Linked DNA regions of Canis lupus familiaris. The protein of the gene in region 1 interacts with the protein of each later gene in a pairwise test. Links are inferred from orthologs where the notes say so. Each region holds a gene or a part of one and is shown on either strand. Other genes may lie near its edges.

Evidence for each region.
Region 2: the proteins of BAG3 (region 1) and LITAF interact in binary tests that used the Homo sapiens proteins (3 or more experiments, as listed by UniProt). The two-hybrid records come from large-scale screens. The link is inferred for Canis lupus familiaris from reciprocal best matches to the Homo sapiens genes BAG3 and LITAF.

What each region holds. Positions count from the first base shown.
Region 1 is NC_049249.1:30,109,192-30,112,512, forward strand, and holds part of BAG3 (BAG family molecular chaperone regulator 3), read left to right. Parts: exon of another isoform or gene 1-106; intron 107-217; exon of another isoform or gene 218-311; intron 312-727; exon of another isoform or gene 728-806; coding exon 807-1,211; exon of another isoform or gene 1,212-1,328; intron 1,329-1,461; exon of another isoform or gene 1,462-2,015; intron 2,016-2,471; exon of another isoform or gene 2,472-2,778; intron 2,779-3,321. UniProt on the Homo sapiens protein: Co-chaperone and adapter protein that connects different classes of molecular chaperones including heat shock proteins 70 (HSP70s), e.g. HSPA1A/HSP70 or HSPA8/HSC70, and small heat shock proteins (sHSPs), e.g. HSPB8.
Region 2 is NC_049227.1:31,540,276-31,543,923, forward strand, and holds part of LITAF (lipopolysaccharide-induced tumor necrosis factor-alpha factor), read left to right. Parts: intron 1-543; 5' UTR 544-548; coding exon 549-768; intron 769-3,648.

The sequences.
Region 1 (3,321 bases):
GATGTCCGCTGGCGCTGCTCGTGAACACAGATTCTCGCTCTGTGTCTGTGGCCAGAGTTAGCACCGCCTTCTTCGGCTCTGTTCTTTTCCTTTCTTGAAGGAGTACCTGTATTTGTAATATTTTGTTGTGAAAATCCAAAGTGACACAATAATCAGATAAATCTTAATCAAATTGGAGCTAACAGGGCTCTTTGAAGCCAGCTGGGGAAACACGCACTTGGTTTTCTAGGTGGTCTAGGGGCTGGCCAGCTTCCGGGCACGTGACATGTGCTGCTTCCCACATCCAGAGACATCAGTGTGTGGCCCTGAAGCTGAAGCACATCCACGGATTATTTTACTGAATCTTCTAGTCAGCTCGGGGTGGCAGGGGCATCTTTTCTATGCTTTAGATGCTCAAAAGGCTATGAAGGGGCGCCTGGGTGGCTCAGCCAGTTAAGCATCTGCCTTCGGCTCAGGTCATGATCCCAGGGTCCTGAGATCGAGCCCCACATCAGGCTCCCTGCTCAGCAGGGAGTCTGCTTCTCTCTCTCCCTCTGCTGCACCCCACCCCTGCCCTGGCCCTGTGTGCAAGCAAGTGCTCTCTCAAATAAATAATTAATTTTTTAAAAAGGCAGTTGAGTTGGTAAGAGTTAGAATGCTGGCCACTTGGCTCCGGAGTCTCAGGTCCTTGCAGTACATTTTGGAGATGGAAAGGTTTATAAGCGGAAGGCTGTATTAAACGTGTTACCTGAGCAGGCACATAAGGAGGCAAGGTTGGAGCACCAGGGCAGAGGGTCACTCGTTCCTCTACTCTTTGTGTCTTGCAGCGATCCCAGTCTCCAGCTGCTTCGGACTGCTCGTCGTCGTCCTCCACAGCCAGCCTGCCCTCCTCCTCCAGCAGGAGCAGCCTGGGCAGTCACCAGCTCCCCCGGGGCTACATCCCCATCCCCGTGATACACGAGCAGAATGTCGCCCGGCCAGCAGCCCAGCCTTCCTTCCACCAAGCCCAGAAGACCCACTACCCGGCTCAACAGGGTGAATACCAGACCTACCAGCCGATGTACCACAGGGCCCCGGGGGACGACTGGGAGCCCCGGCCCATGCCGGCAGCGTCCCCATTCCGCTCACCTGTCCGGAGTGCATCCAGCCGGGAGGCCTCTCCGGCCAGAAGCAGCACACCAGTGCACTCCCCTTCACCCCACCGTGTGCACACTGTGGTCGACAAGCCTCAGGTACGCAGTTGGTGTTCACAGGCCGACCCACTCCATCAGCTTCTCTGCCGGGGCTGAGGAGCTCCGTGCGGGTGCCCTGGTTCCTCCGTGGGCCTTCACTAGCTCCCATGCGTGTTACTGGGGGAAAGCGAGATTCTGGAATTGGCTGGTTATCAGCAGAAACGCAGGACTGGTACTGGGAACGCTCAGTACTTTCTGCAGCTTTTGCTCATTTGTCATTGCAGCTGCCTTTAGACAGAACCTCCCTCACCTCAGCGAGAGACAGCTGGGCAGCATGTGGGGTGTCACACACATGGGGCCCGGCTATCTTAGCGCCCACCACACTTTGTCAGGGCTCTTCAGACCCCTTGCACACTGCAGCCACAGCCTCATCTCCAACTCTCCTTCCTCACGGATGCCCCTTCTCCACTCCTCAGGCCCTTTCTGTTCTTCGTCTGTGCATTTGCTCTTGCTGAACCAGCTCCCAGAAATGCCAGCACACTCCAGGTTCTCCCCATCCTCCAAGGGACCAGCCAGTCTTGCCTCTTCCATGAAGCTTACTCCTCTTTCTCACAGCATCCCTTCACAGTCCTTTAGGGCTTGGCATGTGTTACGCTGTGCATTCCGAAAGTGTTCAACATCTTACTTGCTGAGCTCGGCTCTGAGCTTGATGACAGGGGCAAGCCTTCTCCCTCTCTCCTTGGTGGTAAAGGACAATGTTGCCAGTAAAGGACCGGCCTGCCAGCTGACCGGGAAACCTTCCGGCGTGGGGAAGTTGCAGGCACAGACCTGTTCATCCTTCAGGGGCAACTCGTAGGGCACATCCTGGAAGAGGAGGAGGTCATGTAGCTTAGCAAAGCCTTGAACAACCCCGGGCCCCCCAACTTGAGCAGCCAAATTGGTTCTCTGTCATAGTTTTTAGAAGGAAAGCCCCTTGTAGGCAAATGCAGGATGTCTTACTATAAATAGTGACAGCACCCTCCTGTGGTTCTTTTTTTAGCTTCTTTATTTGGAAATAATTTCAACCTTACAGAGGAATTACAAGAATCCTACAAAGAAACCCAATACCCCCTTCATCCACATTCACCGTTAACATTCTGCTGTATTTGCTTTGCCATTTCTTGTTTCTATATGTATTATCCATGTGGTTTCTTTGTTGGAGATATAATTATAGATACGGTGCCCCTCTACCCATAAATAATTCAGGAAATATTTTCCTAAGAAGGACCTCATCCATAACCACAGTTCAATTATCAGAATCAGGAAACTTAACGTCCTTACCACATCGTCATCTAATACACAGTCCACTTTCAAATCTCCTTGATAGCGGTTTTCCCTGTTCCAGGATCTAATCTAGGATCATGAGCACTGCATTTAGATGTCCTTTCTCTTCAGTCTCCTTCATTCTGGAACAGTTCTTCGGACTTCCGTTGCTTTTGTGACCTTGACTTTTTCAAAGAGTATACAAGCCGTGGAGCCCTTAAGAGTTTCCAAAGTCATTTTTCTTACTCGGAGATTGTTTTAAAACCCAGAGAGGGATGTGTGCCTGGTTGCCAAGTGGTTGAGGGCATCCGCGCTGGCAAGATACCTGGTAGAGAAGGGGTTGCTGGCGCTCAGATGGCTAAGTAGCCACTAGATCCCAACTTGGGCTCAGGGAATCTCGGGAAAGCAGTGCCCATTCGCAGAGCTAGAAATGCTTCTCCCTGTGTCTTTCCTATATATTTCCCATAATCGGTGAAACTGTTTAATCCTATTTCTTCCTTAATCTTGTTTGTAGTGCCCTCCCTTTTAGTGCTTGTTCAGAGATTTCTTTTTGAAGGTTTGCAAAGATTGGACCTAACTGAATATTATAGTGGTAGAAATTTAGTATTTTAAATTGAGAGTACTTCAGAAATCATGTAGTCTATTACTTCCCAGTTGGTGAAATTAGGATGTGTGAGATTTAAGAAGTTTGGCTAAAACACTAATTAGAAAAGCTATACTCATCCCTCTGTGTATTGCAACATTATTCACAATAGCCAAGATATGGAAGCTGCCCAAGTATCCATCGATAAATGAATGGATAAAGCAGATACGGTGTACATATACAATGGAATATTACTCAGCCATGAAAAAGAATGAAATCTTGCCA
Region 2 (3,648 bases), on another chromosome or scaffold:
GGTGTAGATGGCATCCCACCGGGTGCCTCTGCCCTCTGACTTCCTCTGCCCCGCCCCCCGCCCCCCACTATATTTGCAGATACAGTGACATAGTTTGTGGTTGACTTGGAACACCTTTGTCTTTTCCGGCACCTAAGATGCTTTTAGTAAAAAAAAAAAAAAAACCCACAGTGGTTAAAGAGGAGAGGACGACACTCGATGTGAAAGACGGGGCCGTCGTTGGTTGGTAGTTTCAAAGCGCCAGGAGAGAAGCGTCTGCTCTGATTGGGGCGATGTGTGCCCTTGGGACCTTCTAGGTTTTGATGATTTTTGGTTGTAACTGTTTACCTTTTAGCTTTATTTAGGGAATCCTTCGTTACAGTGATAATGCTTGGGTCTAGGAGGGATGCTAACTCCCTTTCTGGTTTTTGGACAAGGCTGCACGCGAGCCATTTCTTCCTATTTTCCATTTGGTAGAAATTGGGAAGATTGGTATGGAAAAGAGAGAGAGAGAGAGAGGTGTCACTTGTATTTCTGATCTGGTGTCTTCTGCTTTTGCTTTAGGTAAAATGTCTGTTCCAGGATCCTACCAGGCGGCCGCTGGGCCTTCCTCGGTGCCAACTGCGCCGCCATCCTATGAAGAGACGGTGGCCGTCAATAGTTACTTCCCTATGCCTCCTGCCCCTGCGCCAGGGCCGACCACGGGGCTGGTGACGGGCCCGGATGGCAAGGGCATGAATCCGCCAGCCTACTACACCCAGCCAGTGCCCGTCCCCAACGCCAATGCAAGTACGTGCCACCTCCCGCGCCCCCTTACCTGTCTTCTTCGCCCTCCACCCTGGCCTTGGGGCCCCTGCGAGAATCAGGGGAGCCACAGAGGTGACTCTGCCTAAAGTCCAAGTGAAGTGCCGGTCAGTCTGGCCTGACCCCTCGCCCTGGAATGTCACTTCTAGTCTTCTGGGTTCCACCTCTGGGGTGGGGGTGGGGGGCTCATGTCTTCTCCCCAATAAAGCACAGTTTATGAGCTTTCCCACATCAGCCACAAACCGATCTTTTGGTGCTAACTGCCCACCAGTCATCCCAGAGGAATTGGGGAATGGGAGTTTGCGTTCAAAGGCCCCTACCCTTCCTGCTGACACTCCCTGGGACAGACCCTGCCCTGAGGCCAGGGCTGGAGTGGGAGAAGGAGCAGAAACAACTGGGAGTTAGAAATGGTTGAGCAGGTGCTGTCCCAGCCTGCTTCCCTGCCTTCTAGCTACTTCTTCATGGCCTTATCCCTGGGGACTTCCCGCTGCCCAGGTGCGCCTAGGTGCGCCCAGGTGCATAGGTGATTCAGTATCACAAGCAGCCGAGGAGGGAATAGCCAGCTCAGAGACTAGGCCAGTGGGTCAGACTGCCTGGATTCACCTAACTGCCTGGTGACTCAGTTTCCCCTCCTGTAAAATAGGGCTCATCAGGTGACTCCTTCAGTGGGTTGTTCCGATGAAATGAAGTTCTCTGAGGAGTCATTTGATAAAAGTGAGCTCTTGTCCCCGGGCTCGAGTAACTTTGACGCTATCACACAGAAGAGAACAAAGTGACTTCAGACTCATCATGCTCTGATCAAAAATTCATTCTGTACCAAAAAAAAAAAAAAGACTTTTACACAGTTTACATGTAGGTGTTATAGTATGCTCAAATACTGCTTTTTCTGGAAGGAAAGACTTCCTAGGTCTTTCTAGGACAATTAAGTTCTGAGAGCTAGTACAATAATTAATTTCCCCTAATACACAGATTATAGAAACGGCATTTCAGCACCGCAGAGAGGAACAGAAGGGAGTCACTCTGACAGAAATATGAGCTTAAGCAACTTTGCCAAAACGCAAAAACATTCTGAATGCTTAAGGACTTCATGATTTATATCACTCTGGGCTCTCCTCTGGTAACCGGGAACGCCTGTACATGTTTTTCACATAGTTTGCTCTTTTTAGCACTATTTTATATCTTTGTTTCATGTATCAGCTCGATTCCCGGACTCGTTGCAAAGCCTGGGCCAGTGTTCCCCGGCTTGGTACCAACTCCAGCCCTGTCACGGGGGGGTTGGACCTATTAAGGAGTCCGGAGCCACGTGTGAAAGGAGGGGAGTGTTTCATCGAGGGTTTGATCTGGGTTCGCTGTGACCCAGAGTGTCAGGTTCTTTACTATCCTTCTCTCATGGGACCCTGGCAGCAACCGTGTTACTTCCAGTTGTAAAAAATAAAAGAGTTAAATTGAGATACAATTCCCATTAACTCCATAGGGTTCACTCTTTGAAGGTGTCTGATGCAATGGTGTCAGTGCAAGCATCGGCGCCAATTCCAGAATATTTCCATCACCCCAGAAAGAAACCCCGTCCCCATTAGCCACCCCTCCCCATCCCCCCAGTCCCTGGCAACCACTAATCTATGGATGAAGAAAATTGAGGCTAAAACCCCATCATATCACTGTTTCTGGAATTACTATCTGCAGACCACCTTTATCGAACCACACAGGGAGCTTAAAGAGCCTTCTGGGGACCCTGCCCCAGACCTGCTGACTCAGCCTGTCTCAGCGGTAGGGGCTGGGGGTGGGTATAGGGCCCAGGAACCTGCATTGGCAACATTGGCAGTAAGTTCCCCACCCGATTCTGTGGTCAGTGAGTTTGAAAGCCTGGTCGTGCTGAGCCAGACCCCCGCTCCAGGAACTTCTCCCCATCTCACGTGGCAAGGGGGTCAGGGGCATGCAAGCCCCCCAAATGATAATGCTGGAAATCTGCCACTGTTTTGGTAAAGCACACATAAGGTAAATTTGTCACCTAAATTTAGCGTCTCTTGGTGTACAGTTGAATGGCATTAAACACATTCAAGTGGTCTTGAAACTGTCACCACCATCTCTTTCTAGAACTTTTAAAGATATTTTAAAAATTTATTTATTTATTTATTTAAAGATTTTGTTTATTCATGGGAGACAGAGACAGAGAGAGACAGAGACAGAGACAGAGACACAGGCCGAGGGAGAAGCAGGCTCCATGCAGGGAGCCCGATGTGGGACTCGATCCCAGGACCCCAGGATCATGTCCTGGGCCGAAGGCAGGCACTAAACCGCTGAGCCATCCAGGGATCCCCCTATTTTTACAATTTATTCATCAGAGAGAGAGGGAGAGAGAAAGGGAGCGCAAGCAGGGGGAGGGGCAGAGGCAGAGGGAGAAGCAGGCTCCCTGCTGTGCAGGGGGCCTGATGAGGGACTCGATCCCAGGATGCTGAGATCATGACCATGACCATGACCAAACCAAGGCAGGTGCTTCAAGGACTGAACCACCCAGCTCCCCCCCCCCCCCCCCACCAGAATGTTTAAATCTTGTAAAATTGAACCTCCAGACCCAGTAAACAGCAGCTCCCCGTTGCCCCCCCCACCCCTTCCTGGCACCCACCATCTCCTCTGTGAATTGGATGACTTGAGGTGCCTCCCATACGTGAAATCGTGCAGGCCTTGTCCTATGCCTGGCTCGTGGCACTCAGCACAACATCCTGACGGCTCATCCGTGTTGGAGCGCGGGTCAGGGTGTCCTTTTAAGGCTGAGCGAGCCTCCGCCGCGTGGGTAGATCCCATTGTGCTTAGCCATTTGCTCACCTGTCCGCGGGCACCTGGGTGACGTCCACCCTTTGGCTCCTG